Linked DNA regions of Drosophila melanogaster. The protein of the gene in region 1 purifies or fractionates together with the protein of each later gene. This does not show direct contact. Each region holds a gene or a part of one and is shown in the gene's direction. Other genes may lie near its edges.

Region 1 (10,755 bases):
AGGTGCGCAGGCGCAGTAAATAAATGAGGCGATGGCAAAGCCCTAAATGATCTGAAAAAATTCCATTATACGAATTATATGTTATCAAAGTTTAGTCGAATTTCACAGAAAATTCTGTTTGAAATTTGAACAATAAACTTGGCGCCATTTATCGATAGACCAAGCCAACCAGTTCTGCAAACGGTAAAATTTTATATTTTATAAGTACCAATTTTAAAACACTTTCTATTATTGTATTAAAACGTCTCATCATTTTCTTTATTTTGTTGAACTAATACTTTTTGGTTCAATAGTCTTCCCAAAAATTAAATAATAAGTGCTTGTAAATAAATATGAACTTGTTTATTTTGCCTTTAGCATGGAATTACATCCAAAGAAACAGAAAATAAATATATTAATTCTTAAATAGATATCTTTTATGTAGCAAACAAGAAGTCAAGGATATTTAATTTTCAAACAAAAAAAGTGGGAAAACGAGGAACATTTTATCAATACGATTTTGAAACAAAATGAATTTCGCGCGTTGTTCATAAGCAAATTGGAATCAATTATTAAGGAATTATAATTATTATATTTAATCCCTACCAACTTATAATAGCTAGGCATATTACACTTTAAATTGTGCTTCATTGATTGAGTACAATTGCAAGCACTTAATTCAATAAAACGCAATTGAAAATGGTCCGCCAGTGTCCTGTGTCCTTCAGTGAGTTACACGGTTGAGTAAATATATAGTAGTGCATATGCGATACGTCTATATAGTTATGTTTTAGTAATGCTGATGTCCTAAGTGAAGTCTATTTAAATGCCACAAGTTCGGTGATGTGTGTCCCAATCGCTCAGCTATAACGAATGTATTATAAAAGATAGGTAAACATGAGTACTTTTCCTTCAATGCGTCACTGGATAAAACAATTTAAAAAAATGCATAAAATACATAATAAATCCTACAATGCTTACCTGGCATTCACGACTGCAGTACCATTGATTCTGACAGTTGGAGCACATAAAGGTGGCTCCATAGAGCTTGCACTCGTGGCATTGTCTACCTGTGTTACCGTTGATGGTGGCGGAAGATTCAGCCTGGGACTTATGGGAGCTCCTATGCTTGTGAGACTTGTGCTTATGCGACTTGCGCTTGTGAGACTTGTGCCTCTTTTGGACATTCTCATGGTCGTTGATATTAGCGGAATGTTGTTCTTGGTAGGACTGAATAGAAACATTTATTTTCGCGGAATGTCAAAAAATATTGTGATTAAGTGCATACCTGTCTATTGGCCAGTTGGCGACGGGAGGCCATCGGACTGCTGTTGAACAGCGGTTCGATCTGTGATTCATTATCCGAATTATTGTCCTCCATTGAGACGTTACTAAAATGCGAATAATTTTTCCAAGCCCTAATCTTGCGAAGCGTCTCTGAAAGATTGGCTGACAAATGTGTCGAGGAGCTTGCCATGTCCTGGTTACTATAAATTATATGACGTTAAAATAATATGTTCTAGTATATTATTTGTATTTTCTCACCTGTCTTGCGAGTGGATTAGCTTCGGTCGCTTGGCTGGCGGATCTCTGTCTGGATTGCTATCTAGCAGATGGTCATTTACCGCATTCCGAGATTCGTAATGCTGATCCCGCATTGATAGATGACTTACGGGCAAGGAATCTCTACGAAAAAGCATTTGGTCATCCTCGAAATTGGCCGGAGACACGGACGGTGCGCGTTTATTTAAGCCCAAGGAACTGAAAACGATCAATTTTAACTTGGGATTCTCAGAATTAAACATTTAAAGATTTACCCCCGCAGAAGCTGTATGATGTTCTGGTTTAACTCGGCGTAATTCAGTAATTTTTCAATTGCCGACAAACTATGTTTGGAGGCCATTGGAGAATCGATTTCCTCTTCTAGCATAGCCTTTACCTCACTGAGCTCCTTGGTGCCGCACTTGTTGATAAGGATGGGCAGTAGGTCCTTAATACGTATCAAGCGCTCCTTTCGCTCCATTCGTTCATGCAGCTCCTTCTTAATGCAGCTCAAATACAGCAGTCGGTTATATTCATCCTCTTTCTGGGCCATCAGCTTATCTAGGGCTGCAAGATCCGCAACGATGCGTTCGCGCTCTTTTTTCAATGAATCTTCATCAGGGGGTACCGAGTTAATTTTATCAATCATTGTCGAGTTCAATTCATCGAAAAGTTCTTTGACGCGATAATGGAAGTTTGCATCACTATTATTGAGATCAACGAATGACTTTTGGCGGGTTGTCGAAGAAGAAGCCGCTGGTGACCCCAAGCCCTGCGTCTGGGTGCTCACCGTTTCCGATCGACGGGGTTGCGGCTGTTGGGGCACCGCAAAGTTGGGAGCAGCCACTGGAACAGGATGCAGTTGAGATGGCGATTGATGGACCTGCTGTGATTGGGCAAGCTGATGTGGACTAGCATGCCTTTGAGGGGTCAACGGCTGCACCGAAGCTGGTCTTGATGAATCTGGCTGCTGTGGTGGAGGAGCTAGCTGCTGTGGTGGAGGAGCTAGTTGCTGTGGTGGAGGAGCTAGCTGCTGTGGTCGAGGCGCTAGCTGCTGTGGTGGAGGAGCTAGCTGCTGTGTTGGAGCTAGCTGCTGTGGCGGAGCCATATGTTGTGGTGGAGCCATATGCTGTGTGGGAGCTCGCTGTTGTGGCGGAGCCAGCTGCTGTGGCGGAGCTCGCTGCTGTGGCGGAGCTCGCTGCTGTGGTGGAGCTAGCTGCTGTGGTGGAGCTAGCTGCTGTGGTGGAGCTAGCTGCTGTGGTGGAGCTAGCTGCTGTGGCGGAGCTAGCTGCTGTGGCGGAGCTCGCTGCTGTGGTGGAGCTAGCTGGTGTGGTGGAGCTAGCTGGTGTGGTGGAGCTAGCTGCTGTGGCGGAGCTCGCTGCTGTGGTGGAGCTAGCTGGTGTGGTGGAGCTAGCTGGTGTGGTGGAGCCAGCTGCTGTGATGGAGCTAGCTGCTGTGGAGATGGTCTATGTTGAGCCAGGTGCCGTGGTGGAGCGAATGGAGCTGTAGCCAGTTGCTGTGGAGGAGCTCGCTGCTGTGGTGGAGGAAGCTGCTGCGGTGGAACTGATCTTGGGAAGTGCATCTGTTGCACGGGGGCTTGTTGTAGTGGAGCAACCTGAGATGGAGCTCTCTGCGCGAGGGCAGCCACTTGTGGTGCAGCAGCATAGGATGCAGCGACTTGGGATAAAGCTGTCTGTTGAATCGAGAAAGTCGCATTAGCTTTCATGTTATTTGACAGCTTTTCGTTGGGATAGGATATCTGCATTTGGGTGGCCGTTGGCGGTGGAGTATTTAAACTGTAAGTGTCAGCTTGCTTGGCGGCAGTAGGCGGAGCCAGGGTATACGGTGTGCTCAGCTTAAAAGCCTGCTGACGCTGAAGAGGATTAGTCGATGGAGTGGTGGGCATTCTTAGATTTAATGGTGGAGCTGCCTCCATTGGCTTCTGTTGCTGCACCGTTGAAAACCCAATTATATTATCATCCTCGACTTCATTGTTGCGCTTCTCTTCGCTAGCGGGCGGTGTTACCGAACGGCGTCTTTTAAGAGTGGCATCAACCACAAGCGACTCTGCCTCATTTGGCGCATCTCGCGACCGGTCCTTTAGAGCCTGTTCCAATTCCCGACACGCTGAGAGTTTACCGTAGTCGAAGACCGGTTCCTGGGGATCCTTCTTTACCAGGAACTCGTCGAGGATAGAGGCACCGTTTTCGTTGTTTCCAAGTGGGTTTGCTTTCTTCCTTTCTGGCAGCTCGTAGTTTAGTTGGGGTGGAGCCGGAAGCGTAGGCTTATTTTCCTTGATGGGCGTAACCCTTGCCGGCTCTTGCTCTGGTTTCTCAGGCGAATCCTCGTTCTCCGTGTCGTCAAGGCAAATGAGTTCCGGCGAACCACTGCCGCTGCGGCTGCGAGAATAGCTACGACTACGACTGCGACTGCAACTTCGGCTAAGACTGCGGCTGTGGCTGCGACTACGACTGATGCTCCTGCTGTCGTAGGTTCTGCGCTGCCTGTCATGGAAGCGAACCAGGTGCTTCAATTTACGCTTGGGCAGCAAGTCCTTCAGGCCGTCAAAATAGCTGTTGTAGTCCATTTTATTGGGTCGCAGCCTGAAGTGTGATCGGATAAGATAGGATTACAGTTTCAGTAGGTTCTTTGGGAAGTAAGCCTTACCAACGAATACTGCGACGCTTGAAGTAAAGATTGGGCAGCCTGCCACGCTGTAACTGCAATTGCCGGATCCGCCGAATTGTTTCTGAGCGCGTGGAAGGTGGCACCGCATCGTCATCTGGCTTTTCATTTTTCTCAGTGGCAGCCGCCGATTCTGGAGCTCCATTTCCGGGTTTCTCGGACTCGGATCCCTTGGATTTTGTCTTTTGGGGTCGTTGCTTGCTCACCGCCGCGTCCATTAGAGCGTCGTATTCCTCCTCCTCGTGGCTATACTCGTCGCTACTTAGCTGCGAATTGGAGGAGTCGTAGATCTCGTTGGACATTAGGCCTGCAACTGGACGACGGTCAGGTATGTACATCTTTTGGCATTAACCCCCTCAAAAACTCACGCGCTCACGTCTGCAAATTTTTGGCCAACAAAAAATCGTCTGCCGGTTGAATATTCTAATCCGCCGACGGGCTCACCTTTTCAGTTGCTGAAAACCACTTAAAACAATGGCCCAAGTCCCCAAATAGGCTAATTCGGGTTTATACCAGTTTTAAAGCGTTTACTTTCAGCAAAAATCCAATTTCCAAATGCGAAAAAAAATTCGCCGTTCAATTCTGCGAATAATTTTGACAGGCATTTAGTATGGACGCAAACCAATAGGGTAACCACTTTTGGGAAAGTCTTTAAATAATACTGAATAAAATATGTTCTTCCAACTAGTTCTTAGTTAGGTAAACCAAGCAAACAAATTTTTAATCTTATTAAATTAAAGTAATCTAGTAATCTTATTAAATATTACTAGTTTCGGGGTATTCGGTCATTTCATATCTAAAAACCAAATAACTATATTAGAATAAGTTACTCACTAGAGTTTCATTTTTTGATTTATGGAAAAGTTAGCGTAGATCAAAAATCAATCATTAATAAGCTATAAGTTGTAGTGCAGATCGTTAGCCAAATTATTCAGATTTCCTTTACAACATTGCAACCTGACAGCCCTGGTGGCAAATATTAAATATTGAAAAATACTAAAGGCAAAAGTGGCGATTTTCCGTTTGTTCACCGGTGTCATCGTCATTGCACTCGAACGGTCATACCGTTTGGCTTACAAAAGAAAACAAATCAATTCGCACAAAAACATTGCCAAAAAGGTAAATGGCGGGCACGACGCCGCCGAGTGATAACCATATAGTAGTGACCAGTGTTTAGCAACCGATTCCCGCCCAGTGACACTCGTAAACAAAGGGCACGACCGACAGTGTCTGTATATATATGTGCATATGCGTAACAGGGAATAACCGATAAGAACGGCGCAGCTGCAGATAGACATACCTTTAAATAGGACTTTGTTTATTGATCGTTTGTGGGTGGCTATTGCCTTGCAGATCGCGAACTGATAACCATAAATGTTAACCACGTCACGCCACCCCACGCCTCTCCCAAACACACACACTCGCACACGTGCGCCAGCTGAGCACATGCATACGTATATGCATGCTCACACGCACACAATCGCATGGTCGTGCACAAGAACTCTTTTGTTGTATGTAAAGTGGACGATCGAAAAAGTAAACTAATTCAATACAATGGGTTCAGCAATCAACGTCGGGGTCACCAATTGAGTGCATCAAAAATACAATCAATTCGGCCCGGCGAATTTTCGGTTGATTCAGCTAATGGCGGTGTGCATAAGAAATGGCATGAAAAGTACTCCTTTTTTCATTGGATTTAAATCCCATTATCATAGGAAGAAATAAGAAATTTAAAAAAAGCAGTGCTTGTCAACTGAATGCATTCATTTCTATTACAAAAACGTAGTGCGTTCCATTGTGCATGTAAATATATGCAGTCCCAGTTTTATATTACGTGTCAAAACAAAAGATTGACCTTTATCATTGGTCGTTTTACAACCATTGTTTATAACTTTGTAGAAATACAAATAAAAACTTCTTTGATAAACTTTATCCGCTGACATGTTTTAAATCATAATTTAAGTAAATCATGATCATTTAAATAATAATCTCAATATATAATACCTATTACTTTAGTTTATTTAAAATCCGAAAATCGTTTCGAAACTTATTTAAATTTGCTTAAATTGAAATATCTAAAATATCCGAAGCCAAGTATTATTTAATAAGAAATATGAATAGCTAAACGCCTTAATGAAATGATTTAATTAGTTTAAAGTTTTAAAGTTGTCGTTTTTACTCATAATTAAAACGGTCGTAAAACTTTAGTACTTTTTTAAAACATCTCCATGTACAAAATGTAAAAAATGACACCTAACTGTCATCAATTTTTTGCTAAACTGTTTGCACACTTTGGTCCCCATAAACCCACTCATTCTAAAGATTATTGACTTTCGCGAGCTTCCACTGTGAAGTGCGAGTATCTGCCCCATAATGACTATCCGTCGGACAGGCGGACTTTGTCCACAGCGGCTGTAGCTATTTCCAACGGAGAAGTCATCGATTGGCCAAGGCTGATTAGATTCCTCCTCCGGCAGCGGCCTTAGCAAAAGCTATAGCCTATAGGGCTATGGGCTATAGCTCCCGCTGATATCTGGCGAATATCTCTGCCGTGCGGCGGTTGCCCCAGTCCATTGCCAGCTGGTGGTGCAGGTGGTTGCCTTCCCGGATTTCACGATTTCTTTTAACTTGGCCGCGTGCTTTTAATTGAAGAAAACGCAGCTCTTGTGTGAGTGCGGGACCTTGTGTAGTGGTCATAAACTAGGTGTTCCACCGTTGGGACCATAAAGTGCGGGTTTACGAGCACTACCGGGAGAACAACCTACAATTAAAGTAGTGATTACGTAAAGACAGCCGTTTTATTGGTTAAACATCGCTATTTGCAGATCAAAATGGGTTCCCTGGAGAAGCTGAAACAATTGAGACTGATACACCTGTGCATCGCGCTCACCTTCTTTACCAGCGGGCTGTGCATCAACTTTATCCAGCTGCTGATGCACGTCTTTATCAAGCCCATAGACAAGCGACTCTTCCGCAAGTTGATGTACTATGCCTGCTATTCGCTTTACTCCCGTGAGTATATCCTGACCAGTTCCGATTCGAAGTAGAAACATAATACCTCCAATCCCTTAGAACTTATCTTCGTGTCCGATTGGTATGCCGGCAGCAAGATGACTGTCTACATGGACAAGGAGGACTTCGAGAAGCATGCCGGCAAGGAACACGTCCTTCTGATCATGAACCATAAATACGAGATCGATTGGCTCAACGGCTGGATGATCTGCGAAAAGTTGGGCGTGCTGGGCAACTGCAAGGCCTATGCGAAGAAGGCAATCCGCTACGTGCCCATCATCGGCTGGGGCTGGTGGCTGGCCGAGTTCGTCTTCCTCAATCGAAACTTCGACCAGGACAAGACCATCATCACCGAACAGCTCAAGGTGGTCTTCTCCTATCCCGATCCCACCTGGCTTTTGCTCAACGCCGAGGGCACTCGCTTCACTCCCGCCAAGCACGAGGCATCCGTAAAATTCGCCCAGGAGAGGGGCATGACGGTGCTGAAGCACCATTTGATCCCGCGCACCAAGGGATTCACCGCCAGCTTGGCACCCATCCGCGGTCTCTGTCCGGTAATCTACGACATTAATCTAGCGTACAGGCCCACAGATAAGGTAATTATAACGGCAAACTTCAAGCACTTCATTTAAGTGCTTTAGTTATATAATACTGTATTTTATTGTGCCATACATTTAATGCAGAATTCTGCATGGCAAAGCTTCTCATGTATATTTTTGATAAGGCTAATCAGCCTGTTCGACAATACCTGTCTGATTGCTTTGGTCTAATCAAATTTCTTTTCGTTTAATCCGATTATTTTGCTCATTTACTTCACTGCCTCTTTTAAGAGTCACGATTTCTTAAGATCGATGCTCTTAAAGATACCGATTAGAATGAGCAAACATTTCAAGGTTAATCAAGTGGTAATTTTTATAACTTATTTTCCTTATTTTGGTTTATTTTCCTTACCTTTGACGTGTCATCAGTATTATTAGCACTTTAGCCAGCATAGCAACCTTAATTTTTTAACTGAGTAATTTGGCGTTCTAATGATAAGTGCATAGAATTTAGCAAATTGCAAATTTATTATGGTTTTAAATTAAACTCGCAGAAGTGAGTTATAAAAGATGCTTATAAAGATACTACAGTTTTAGCTACTAAAAGGCTATTTACCGGACTTAATTAACTTGCAATTGAACTTTCAGACCCCCGCCACAATGCTGAGTTTGCTGCATGGAAAGAGCGTGGAACCGCACCTGCTGATGAGGCGTATTCCACTGGAACAGGTTCCGGAGGATGAGAAGGAGGCGGCCGCCTGGCTGCAGAACCTGTTCGTGGAGAAGGACAAGATCATCGATAGCTTCCTGGAGACGGGCAGCTTCTTTAAGACGTCCGGCATAAAGGAGGTTCCGGCATATGTGAATAAACGCCGGCTGTGCTCACTCGTGAACTTTGTCTGCTGGGCGGTATTCTCTCTGTCCTGCATTTTCTACTACGTGATCACATCCCTGCTGGCGGCCAACTGGACGGCCTTTATCACCGCACTTTCCGTCCTGGGACTTTGTAAGTTTGGGGTTCGATCTTTAAGGAGGATGGCACTTTAGACGGCATTAGCCGTTCATTCTTTAAGTTTTAAGAACTTTTTGGAGTGTTAAATGCTAAAGTTCATATATAATGACGTCTGCATGGTTATAACAATAATATAAGCCGCGTTCTAATGTGTTCCTACTCCCTCCAAAACCTTAACTTTTGTAAATCTTATTAATATTCTTTTTTTCTTGTTACAGTTTACTGGCTCATGGGTCAGGCCATCAACAAGACGCAGATCAGCAAGGCATCTAATTATGGATCCTCCAAGTCGGTCGCAAAGTAACTTTCGAATTCGCATTTAGTTTCGATTGTCGTCGAACTCAATTATCTACAAATGACTTTGTAAAAGGCAGTCCTCTCACAAATCTCTCTGCTAAATGGATCAATTCGTGATTCCTATCCGGACGATTTAAAGTGTTTTGCATGTTTTTCTTGTCTAAGTTTATAGTTACGAAGTAACTCCCGCACACTGGAGCCATCAATTTGCGTACGTAGTTGGTAGTTGTACACCTAAGTGGAAATTTAATTGTTTGATCAATTGTATTTTGGCGAGCATTGCAATAATTAAATTAAACAGAACGTGAGAGCGTGAGTTTGTTGTTGTTGTTTTTTGATAAGGCGTAAGGTAAGCAGTGCGCTGATAAGGGCTGCTGATAAGTGTGGACATGCAAGCAGTGCACCTAAAGAGTGACCTTAACACAAAATACCAACAGTATTTCTAAACTGGATACTTGAAAATTACACACATACGTGTGTAAAATAAATGTAAAATTTCGAATACATTGTTTTTGAGATTCCCAGAAATGCTTTCAAAAGTTACCTTTTGAACAGGAAGGAAATGAGCAATAAGCAAAGCATATTATCCAAATATTTGTGTTTATCAGCATTCTTCCTACACGTTCGTTTCTTTATCAGTTGTAACGATCAGAAGCAGCACACGTTCCGTTAGTTCGACTGCTTGCCCTTGGCTATATGATCAATACAACCACACGCCAAGCATAAAATCGCCTTTATTCGCCGATAAGCAGTGTCGCCCATTCCAATTGACTGATAACAGGTGATTAAAAGTGTTAGTTGTGGGTTTCTGGGTTGTACTATCGACGAGATCCATATCACTAGGGGCTCGGGCCGCCTAGAAGAGTCACTTTCATTCAGTCGAATTCTACTGGTTGGTAGAACAAGTTGCAACTTCCTGGTCTCTAATTGTTAAGATTCCGCTTAGATAGGTGAGTGAGTGTGTGTGTAAATGAGAAAGTGGACTGTCGCAAAGTGAAACTGAAACGTGTTGAGTTCAAAAACTAGTTGTACTTATGGCATTGTCATTATCATTGCTTCTACCAAATTTGATAAAACAAAATGAGGATTGTACAGCTTAGTTCGATTTTCCTCGTCGAACTATGCAATAAAAAATATCTTAGTTAATTATGAAATGCGTTGTACTGTTTTCCCGATCCAACGATAAGAATTCAAATTACTAGTGTCTACTGTACCAATACCGTGTGTTGCGCGTGGGTGTGTGTGCGTTTACGGTACTATAATTTAAGCATTTCAATTTTCATGACACATTGGGAGCAAAGTTTGAGTACTGGCCATATAATAAAATGTCGATATCGCGCGCTGGACATATTTATGAACTGCATTGCAGACATGACTTTCGATTACGTAAACGTTTCTCCAACGGACTGAATTTATTGAGTTGCGTCTATTCTTAGCCTAGGATGTCGCATCTCCGGGGTTTGGGGCGACTGCTGATCGCCGTGACCTTCTTCACATGCGGATTCTTCGTCAACATTGGCCAGCTCCTGCTGATTCTCCTCGTGAGGCCCTTCGATAAGAAGCTATCCCGCAGTCTGGCCTACTACCTGCACTACTCCTTCTATTGCAGTAAGTAACCATCATATTAATATAGATTATCATATCATTATGAGTATAAACGTTTCACATTTCATTCACATTAAGTATAGT
Region 2 (10,755 bases), on another chromosome or scaffold:
ATTCGTCGAGGATGCAGTTTTCCTTGGTGTACTCCCTAATCACCTGCCTCAGTCTCTTGCTGGGTATCCTGCCAGCGTCTGTTTCCTCGTCGCCCAAGTGCTGCTTCAGGAATTCATGCTTTTGCTTGCAATTCCGGTCAAACATCATGGAGAAAAAGTCGCAACCGATGAGCAGGTATCGAAACTTCTCCAGCACAGAGTTTATCACTTGTCGGGCCTTGGCATTTTGGCGGTACAAGGGATTGCGGGTCAGCTCCTCCTTGGCCTTATAGTAGTAGCCTCGCACACGTGTCTGGGCACGTGTGGCCATAGCTTCCTCCTTAGAGTGGAAGCGCTCCTCGCCGCCCGTGAACCACTCCACGTGCTCGGCCTTTAAGCTGAGGTGGGTCTTGCTGTTATCCAGGACGCGTCGCTGCTTTTGGTGTTCATACTCCGTTATCATGCGGCGGAACTTTTCCGGATGCTGTTCGATAAAATCGTAGAAAATGTCAGCCACCTTTAGCAAAGGCGATTGTTGTCGCATCTTCTCAAACTCAAAATCGGCATCTAATAGAAGACAGATTAATTGTGATTAAGTTAAATATTTAAACTGCAGCTCACCTGTTGTAATGACTGCATCCGGGCCAGACACTATGAACAGCGTCTGGGCGGGTAGGCTTTTTAAGTACTCATCGTCGGACACCTCGAAGCCATCAGAAGCCAAATACAAATGTGGCTCGAGAAGCTAAAAGGTAAAAAAAAAACGATTTAATTGTAATGCCCTTGACATGGCCGAATTATAACGAGGCCAGGTCGCCCAATTCCTGGTTCAGGGGCCTTCAGTTTGTTTCACATTTCTCTTTTTTTTTTTTTGCCAGGCAAGGACGTTCCATCAACAGGTGGTTAGCTCTACTATACAGGACATGCGCATTGGCATTTACTAGTGGCATTGAAAGAGAGCCAAACAAACGCGGAAGCCACTGCCAGGGACATGGCCTTGAAAATTACCAGAGCCAGGAACTTTCAGCCCATCTACGTGGGTGGGTGTATATTTCGCGCTTTTACGCAGGAGTTTTTCCTGTTTTTTTTTTCTTACCGGGAACTTGCTTTTTGCCTTGGCTATCAGCATTTCCAGGGAATTGGCTCCGATTCCGTATTTCCTCGTTCGCTCGTTGTCAGTAACCTTGTAGCCACGCATTGGAGCACCTGCTGTTCCCCTGGATTCGGATGAGCTCACATCCTTGAGAACTTCGCCTGTTGGCTGGCTGCTTTTCTTGTTATTCGAGCTGCTGCGTGTTGTCGGTGACATGATTGCATCTCTAATGTAGCTGATCATCGTTCTGGCTCATAATAAAGTCAACTTTGGAATGTAGTCCTCGCAGCAAGTTTCCTTATCCGCGGACAAAGCAAAATAAACTAGCAGAACAAGGCATTTTTCGCGCTTCTCAACACTAGATTCTCATTGAAAGATTCTTTAGTTGTGCTGCAATTTTAGCTAAAAATTGCAAAAAGCTATATAATAATAATTTATTTTTTCCCGTGTTTTGTAATTAACGAAATATTTTTTATATTTTTATTAATCAATTCAAATTGATAAAATTTTCATTTATTCTTAAATTAAATAATGTGTAAATTAATAAAATGAAAATAGCCAAATTAATAAAATACAAGTTGAACGGCGCATTTCCCACCACTATTGCCTTCAGTGTTTTGCAGCACTTATGCATCTAAAAACAGCTGTTCGGGTAATCATTTTTTTTGTTAAAAGTTTCTGTGGAAAAACTATAACAAACGTAGTCTTAGTGTACAATGATCTGGGCTACGGGCTCCGCGTAATCCGCAGCTCACCCGGAAAGGCGTTTTACGATGAATCTACGGCCGCGATGCCGCAAGTGGCTGCCCCTAGCCACCCAGCAACTTCGACTGCGGAACCTTAACAGAATTCAGGGATTCAATATTGAGTCCTGGCCGCATGAGAAGTCGCTGGAGCTAGATGATCCGGATGATGTGCTCCTCTACTACACACTACACACGGACAAGGCTAGCGAAGCGTTCTACACCAGCGAAAAGCTGCCGCAGCGTCACCAACAGCAAAAGTGGGCGGAGATTTGTACGGACGACGAGGCCTGGCGGAAAACCAATGCGCAGTGTGTCTGTGTCAAGGTGTGGAAGCACTATTCGGCGGAAAGAAGAGATGGCCAACCGCCTGAGGTTGAGCAAAGACATAAGGATGTTTTCGGGTAAATAGGAGACTTTGCTTGCAAATAGAACTCTGCTATCATCAACCAACTTACTTCCAGAAGATCCCAGTTAACGCCCAGCAGGCTGCCACGCCCTCCTGAACTACTGTTCAGCTGGGGCGTCTACTTCTCCGGCCTTATACCTCTGTCTCCCCTCACATTGTCCCAGTGCGGACGAAATTGCTTGGTCTTTCAATTGAATGGCGAGCAATTTGCCTCCCCGTCGATGATAAGCGAGCAGGCCTTGCAGTCGCAGCTGCATTTGCACTACCAAAAGTATGCGGAGGAAGAGAAACTAGAAGAGCCGCAGGATGAGGGCATAAACTCGCCGGCCGTTAGTCGTAGTTCGAGTCCCGTGCTGCGAATGAGTACGATGCGCTATGCACAGCTGAAGTGCCAACGGCAGGAGATTCGGCGAAGCAACAACCTCGAAAAGCTTCTCACGTTGCAACGTCTGCAACGCTTGCATCAGCAGAAGCGGCGTCAAATGGCCGAGGTTTGCCGAGAAATAGCCCGCCTCAGTGTACACTGTGTGACCAGGAACGAGCTGCGCTTGAAGCCCCGCACGACATCGCTGTCCGGCGACTACTCCGCCCATCAGTACCATTCCATGGGCCGCGCCCTGAGCGTGTTGCTCGCCGAGCAGCAGCAGATCGCGCCCCTCACGCTTTATAATGCCCAGCAGCTAACTAGAAGGATAGAAGCGCTAAGCAGTCAACAGCGGCTACTTAAAGCGGAGCGGGAAACGTTTCGCCAACGAAACGAGCGCACCCGTCAACTTCTGAAGGAGATGAGAGAACAGCGGGAGGCACAGCAATGGGAGCTCCACAGCCAGCGACATCGACTGGAAAAAGAACGTCTGGAGCTACGAACCCTGGCACCTCAACATCTGGAACAGCGCGATCAAAAAAGACAAATAGAACGGCAGGTGGGGCTGCGGAATCAAATAACATTAAACAAGTATATTAATAAACCTTTTCACCCTTTTAAGGTGGAGCGCCGAATGTCCACACTGGTGTTGGAGCTACAGGAGATCTATAACATCCAGAATGTGGGCGGTCGGCAATTTAGTATCTGCGGCATCGCCTTCCCCCACATGGAGCAATACACGAGCGAGTCACGTCAGGCGGCAAACGCACAGCTTCTGGATAACGTCTCGCCGCTGGCAGTGAGTGCGGCACTGGGTTATGTTGCCCATTTGGTGCAGATGTTAGCCATCATTATGGATCGACCTCTGAGGAACCGTATTCTGTACGAGCCATCGAAAGCAAGGATAGTGGACGATATCAAAGAGTTGACGTACACAACAAGAGAGTAAGCACACAGACTAAATATTACCTTTTGGTATCTTATTGTTCCATCTTAGATTTCCTCTGTATACACGCTCCATTTTGCCGTCGCAGCAAACAAAGTATGCCATCTACCTTTTGCGCCAGAATGTTTCGCAGCTGTGCTTCGACATCACGGGCCAGTGCGATCTGCGAAACACTTTTGGCAATCTGCTGGAGCTATTCAGCACTCTTCGCTACATCGAACGAACGCAAAGGGATGAGGTCGACGAACGGGATGGAACTGCAGTTGGAGCTGGCTGTGGAGAAGCACGCTTGGCAAATGGGTTGACGGCGCCGCACCTGTCGCAATCGCACTCTTCGGTCGACATGAATCATGTGCCACTGCCGACTGGCGTCAATGCGGTCAAGGATGCACTGCTCCAGCAGCTGTTGCCGCCGGGTGTGAGTGAGGCACTGGCAATCGAAGGCTATGCGTCAACTCAACGGTAATCTATATATACATATATTTAGAGCCAAAAACAAAAACTACCGGATAAAATTTAATAATAATATATTGTAATATTCTTGCAGCATTTGCCGTTCGGTGGGGTCCTATTCAGATGGCGAGGATGAGTTTCGCCCGCGACTGGAGCATAACTATTCCAATTCGGACTCCAACATAACTCTGCAAACTGAGCGCAGCTGAGCTAATGCACCCAAAAGTGTTATATTTCCAGCGTTTATATCCAATATCCAAGATAGCATTGTTTAGCGGCTCCTCCTCAGCGGGTTTCTTGGTATTGGCCGCGTATTGTATACTTTTAAATTATAAAAGTCAATGGTGAAGTATATGTGAACGGTAGTCCATTGCGATAATATTATTTTTAGTTGTTTAAGATCTCTGTGTAAATTCCCTTTTATTGTTTGTTTGCTAATATAAGCTACGAATAAAGATTAAATATTTTATACATGACAAATATTTATTTAATATGGATGACAAACATTAGAAACACGTCGATAGAGATTAAGTCGAACAATATCCAAGGTCACAATAAACGAAGTGGTTACGATGCGGAAAACCTAAGCCTTTCTTCATATGTTCTGAAATAATGCTGAGCCCCAAAATTAGTTTATTTGTATATTCTGTTTGAAAAGTATTTTTATGAGTTTTAATTATAGTTTGAATTAGGCGCCAAAAAGTGTTGCAAAGTATGAAGATAAATTGCTCCTTTAACTTATAAAAATTATACCATGTGCTACTGTTACTACATAATATTGTACAATCTGCTTATATTAACTTTTGCTTTATAATTTAAAATGTAAGTTTTGCTTTAAATCCTTAATAAACTCAAAATATTACAGCCACTGCTTGGTCAGTGCTGCAAAACGTTCCGTTCCGTTAACAGTGGTCTGTAAAGCCAGCTGATTAGCATTTCGCCAAAATTATTTCGCTGGCAACTTGCTTCCGGGATTTGAATGTTTTTCGGGCTACATCCGGGCTATTAATAAATAAAAAATGTGTTGTCAAATACCCAAACAACGTCCAAACGTAGTGCGATAATCGATTTAATAATTGAAAACGCGAAAAGCCTGCAAACCAACGTGCTAAATGAAGTGCATGTGCATATGTGTGTGTGGCCCGGGCCTTGGCCTTTTATTTATCGAATTCGTATCAATTAAATTAAAACGCTGAGCAATAGTAGGCAATTGGTATTTATGGTGACGATTTGGTAGCCGGCAACTGTAGCCACTGATAAGCGGACGACGGGGAATGCCTGTGATTTACGCGTATATATAGTGTGTTTACCCTACCTGTTTACCGCTCAAATAAAAAATAAAAGAATAAAACTCCAGGTGTGATAAGGAGCAGCCGTCGTTCACGCCTGAAAATTGCTCAATGGAAACGTGGCAATAAGACTAACTGAGTACCCAGCATTTAATTTTTCTGAGATAATATCATCTGAAAGTGAGAGTAAAACTGCATTTCTGGTGCTAATTAGTTAAATTCAGGCGCCAAAACTCTTTCGAACAGCTCTTTTAATCAAAACTTATTACTTTAAGCTGACTACGCTTGCTCTCTTTTAAGCTCTCTTGTTTTGAAAATGGCTGAGAGCAATGTACCGCTACGAGATTTCGACGAAGAGAGCGAAACGGATTCGGAGACCGAATTGCTCATACGCCGCGATGTACCGAGCGGTAAACAGAACAACAACAACATTAGGGGGCGACGCAAAAGCTCCATGGGCTACAGCGGCGTCGACGCCGGCGCTGGCAGCTCTGCCGCCGGCGGCGGAGGCAGCTTTCTGGGCAATCTTTTCGGATCCAACAGTTTTGGCTCTGCCGCCGGCCAGATACGTTATAGAAATGAGCGGAGTCGCGAGCGCGCCAAACACTCAAACGGTAGCTACAGCAGCATTTCGAAACTGGCGCAATTAACGCACACGTCATCGGGCGTCGCGGGGGCGGGATCGATCGGTGGCGGTGGTGGTGGGAGTGGCAGTGCCACCGGCATTAAAGTAACCACTGGCGATGGCAGTGTAGCGGCATCTGGAGGATCTGCTGCCACGGGGGATCTCAGCAATGGCGCTACGCACAGCACAACCGTCATAGATCCGGAAAATGGCTCATCCACGGTCTTCTACCAGCACAATCGGCGTAAAAGCAAGAGTCGCAGCATTGGCAACGTCTGCAAGTTGTGCCTCTGCAGGTGAGTGTGCATTCGGTGCGATCCAGTCGTTACCCTCCAATGCCAACGCTGCGTATGCGCAATATTTCCATTTCACTGCTGCAATAGTTGGCGGCAGCGGGAGTAATGCGAAAGTATATAGTGCCGCAACAGCTGTTCACTGGCCAGCAAAATATTGGGAATTCAAGTGTTACCTTTAGGGAAAATGGTTAAATGTTTTATATTTTCGCACATAAGCGTTTAATGGCGATTGAGACCCTTTTACTTTTACCACAAGGTATTGAATAAATTATAACTATAGCAGGAAGCAAAAGTTTTAATCTATCACATTAAGACCTCGAAAATTTGTATATTTTTGAAGAAATATTATCTCTTATCGCTTCAATTTAAATGTCTTATGAAATAAATTAGTTTTGTGGAATTTTATAATCTGTGTTTCCGTAGATAGTTGACTTTGAACGTAGAATACCATTGCTCATAAAATGCTGACAACACTAGGTATAAAACTGTTTTTCATCGTAAACTTCTATAAATAATTGAAATGTATATTAAATATTTGGCAAGAAAAAACGTTGACCTCTGTAACGTTCTAGACATTCTATCACTTTCGCAACTCAACAGTTGTTATGGCAAACAAGTTGTTGTTTTGTTTCTGCCACTTGAAATATTTGTTTATTATTTTTTGGCATGAGCCAAATCATTGTGTGGTTTCCCAAAATGAGCAGCGTTGTCTTGCAATTTGATGTTCTTCTTAACTTAGAACTTTTACGAAACACATTTCCAAGAAAATAAATTCTAGCTGAATGTGTGAGAATTTGTGCGCCACACATGTGTGACATACACAATGAATGCAACTGTATGTAAAGCATATATGTATAGCATATATATATAACGATTCCAAGATATATTTTTAATTTACCTAATTAGAGAGAACTTTTGAGAAAGGCCGCACATGCGAACAAGCAAGCACGTCTGTAAGTGGATCGTAGAAAGAAAATTAAAAACATTTCGTTTTCTGCGCGCCGTCGACGGACTGTGCAAATCGATAAACGTGACGACTTCCAAGACTGGGGGAAAAGATTTCGACGAATGGAAAATAATAACAAAAACACGGCTATAAATAGTGGCCAAGACGAGCGACTTGGTTGGGTGACAAGGCATAAACGAAACGCAAACATTGCCATCCATGCCCCGCCTTTCCTTGCCATTTCCTTGCTCCACACCCACTAAGCGAGCGTTTTTCTTATTATTTTGTTTTGTTTTTGTTTTAGAGTACAAACTCTTGTTGCCGCAAAACTTTGGCCAAAAATATCACACACAACACCACCCGTTAGCTGTGCATTTTTAATCGATGTTTGCCGTGCGACTTTAAGCCCCATTGGTGGGCGAACGAAAATAAGAAACATGAACGAAAACGACTCAAGAAGTCACCAAGAAATGCTAAAAAATTCGAAAACCAGTTCCTCAGCTGGTTTTGGCCACACAACACAATCTTGTATTCAAGGTTTCTAAAAAATACAAACGAGTTGCACACAAGAAGTGAGTCGCTTTAGGGTTTTTAGTTTTACTTTTTCGGTCGGACTCTGCTTTCTGTGTTAAAAATTGAAAGTTTCTCTGCCGCCCAACTTCAAATAATTGCAGCATAGATCTGCAGATTGATATGGTTATTTAAACTTCTAAATTTTCTATGTTGACAAAGCGTTTCCTTATGTGAACATCTATTTGTCACTTGAATGTGAAAAAAGTAAACATTGACAAATACTGATATAGAAATCGACAAAAGTGGGAAAAGACAATAGCAAGTCAGAATGGCTGGACGCGAGGGCGGTAAGAAGAAGCCTCTAAAGGCGCCCAAGAAGGACTCGAAGAATCTAGACGAGGAGGACATGGCCTTCAAACAGAAGCAGAAGGAGCAGCAGAAGGCTATGGAGGCGGCCAAGGCAGGTGCCTCCAAGAAGGGACCTCTTCTTGGCGGCGGTATCAAAAAGTCCGGCAAAAAGTGATCCATTGCCACACCTTCATCTGTATATCTTGGCATATTCAAAACACACCAATGTGGACCAACTTTTATTATCCCTTGAATTGAAGTCTTCACGTTATTGTACAGCAAATTACTGAAAAAACATATAACTTTTGGTGTTTGGTATTTGTCTTCATCTCCAAATTCAATACTTCAATGTCATTTTTTGCCTTTGATGTGCGTCTTTAACTCGTTATCGCCCACTGACCACGAAAATATCTTGAAGCCTTTACACATTCAACTTCTCCTCAAGGTTTCCTTAATCAAAGCCTAGCTGTTTTCGGGGCGCTCGAAACTTTTCTCGGGTTTTTCGTTACATTTTGTTCACGCTCAACTCCAATTGCCGCCGTTTCGGTTATATGAGGCTCAAAGATTTCGACAGGCCGATTAGAATTGCAAAGTGAGGCGCCATGCGGCACAATTTGGTTGGTGTGATTGTTGTTGCCACGGTGGCCACTGTGGTGGAACCAGCTATCTTCCAAAAATATTCCATTGCTCTATCAAGTGAGAGAGCTACTGATAACCTAAGGTGCTTGTCTTTTACAAGGCAAGTAACTTGGATTACTTACTAAATTTCAGTTAAATTTTGAAAACAGTTCAATAATCTCCTGAAGTCTCTAATCAATCACTTAAGCTAATTGTAATGGCTACAACCAAAGCCATTACCACCAGCTGACAAAAAAACTTTTCCCAAGCTTTTTTCACTTAGCCGCATCCAAATTAGTGCGCCACGCCCCCCAACCCCCCTGACCACCCTCGTGGACGCCACAAACTGTCAATGGTAACGCCTAATGTTATTATTTTCTAGTCGCCGTTAGCTGTTTATCTAGTTGCGAATGCAAATGGCTGGGAACAGAAAAAGCCATGGCAAAACCGGGGGCTTGGAGGCTTGAGCGGTGAAATGCCTCAACGATTGACGCCCGCAACTTGGCCTGGCATTGTTTTCCACCCACCGGCAATGTGGGTTAATAACCAAAAGGCAGAAGGCAGAAGGCGGCGCAAGTCACACTATTCATGGCTCACCTCATTCCAATCCGGTTACCCGTGAAAGGGTATATTGTACACGTGTTAGCGTTCCACTCCCGCCCGAATAGCCAACCATATTTGCCTTTTTCCGCAATCGCCATATGTGCATATGGTACATATAGCAATATGTACATTTTCGCTTTTCAAAAATAATAATATATTATCGCTAGCCAAAGTTGCAGTTCATTTGAGGATTTTACAAAATTTCCGTGATGTAAGCTCAAGAAACTGGAACAAAATAATTAGTAATCCATAAAATATTTATGTACAAGTACTAATGAGTAAAGCAGCCGTTCGATTTAAAAAAAATAATATTTTTAAATAATTCATATTTTTGAATTTAAGCTGGTATGACTGTAAAGTAATATATTTAAGGGTTTTTAAGCCTGATAAGTATAAGTAGCAAGTAGCTGTAGGTAATTGTAATATATACAAAATAAAAAATAACTCAAATTTCTAGCTATAGGTCATTTTAAACACATTTCTGAGCCCTCAATTATGTAGTTTACTTGTGAAAAAACTTGTAAATAGTTTTCTTTGTGGCACACAGCCAATAAATAAAAACGGCTGAAGAAGTTTAAAGGAATAAGCAATGAGTAACCGATAGGCTATGCATAAATAACACAAATCATGTACTCGTGTACTTAGAAAAAACTATATCAGTGAAAAATAGTTTTTCCCCTGACAATTTCGTGGCTTTTTATGTTTGATAAACGGGGTTTCGGTTAAAAAGAATTTTAATGGGCTTAAATGAGTTTTGTTTCATTTTACATGCAATAATTTTCAGCTTTTACAAACCAAAGTAGTATTCGAATCTTTTATTATTGTTTTGATCTGGGTCAAAGATAATGCAATGCTATCAAGCCACAGAACTGATAAAAATATTTATCTTATACACCCATTTAAAAGATTTTCATTCGATATAATTATATGTCATCCATATCCACAGCTCTATTATTCTTATATGTATGATATTAAAACGTAAAGTTTTTAAATTATAATTGTTTATTTTCAAGTAATAGCGTAAAACGTGCATTTTTGAATCATTAAAAATGGGAGATCAAAAACTTGAAATCTCGAAATTTATAATGCCGAAAATGTGCACACTTGCAAAAATCTCGTTACTAGCAGCTGGTTAAATATATATTTAATAGGAAAGGCGGAAAACAATATTTGCTTGAGAAGTAGCATGGAATCCAAACTGCTGAGGTCTACAATTCGTTTTGAAATTTCCAGTTAATTACTCAGAACGAAACGAATTGCGGCAATTGTTTGTTATGGCCACTGCAATTGTTGACGATTGCATTTCAATTCAGTGGGTAGACAGGATGAGATACCTCAGCTGAATCGCAGTTCGATTGATAAGCGAGCATCTAAAAATGGCGAAAATACAATAAAAACGCATCTAGGCGTATTTAACGAGCGTGACACATATCGGGATTATGGCGGAGCCCCAAGGCTTCGGCGGTAAGAGCGCTGACTTTGAAGTGCAGCATGAGTCATACAGGTGAGCTAATTCTGCTGGCCCTTTTG

What was found. The genes of interacting proteins can lie anywhere in the genome.
Region 2: the proteins of Agpat3 (region 1) and CG31729 purify together in Drosophila melanogaster (affinity purification with mass spectrometry, with the first as the bait; one large-scale study listed by BioGRID). This does not show direct contact.

The regions. Positions count from the first base shown.
Region 1 is NT_037436.4:16,380,390-16,391,144, reverse strand, and holds Agpat3 (1-Acylglycerol-3-phosphate O-acyltransferase 3), read left to right. Parts: upstream 1-5,335; 5' UTR 5,336-5,690; coding exon 5,691-5,717; intron 5,718-6,665; exon of another isoform or gene 6,666-6,978; intron 6,979-7,031; coding exon 7,032-7,218; intron 7,219-7,278; coding exon 7,279-7,814; intron 7,815-8,212; exon of another isoform or gene 8,213-8,313; intron 8,314-8,405; coding exon 8,406-8,763; intron 8,764-8,987; coding exon 8,988-9,073; 3' UTR 9,074-9,373; downstream 9,374-10,755. Other genes in the region: CG44836 (uncharacterized protein), read left to right, coding at 1-23; RAF2 (RING-associated factor 2), read right to left, coding at 802-843, 961-1,209, 1,268-1,466, 1,525-1,740, 1,797-4,124, 4,189-4,508; Agpat4 (1-Acylglycerol-3-phosphate O-acyltransferase 4), read left to right, coding at 10,509-10,674.
Region 2 is NT_033779.5:13,285,095-13,295,849, forward strand, and holds the start of CG31729 (uncharacterized protein), read left to right. Parts: upstream 1-4,902; 5' UTR 4,903-5,592; coding exon 5,593-6,197; intron 6,198-7,914; exon of another isoform or gene 7,915-7,984; coding exon of another isoform or gene 7,985-8,179; exon of another isoform or gene 8,180-8,321; intron 8,322-10,535; exon of another isoform or gene 10,536-10,664; coding exon of another isoform or gene 10,665-10,729; intron 10,730-10,755. Other genes in the region: Drep4 (DNA fragmentation factor-related protein 4), read right to left, coding at 1-546, 601-724, 1,076-1,315; Uvrag (UV-resistance associated gene), read left to right, coding at 1,846-2,219, 2,280-3,147, 3,211-3,533, 3,586-3,996, 4,082-4,196; CG16824 (uncharacterized protein), read left to right, coding at 7,985-8,179.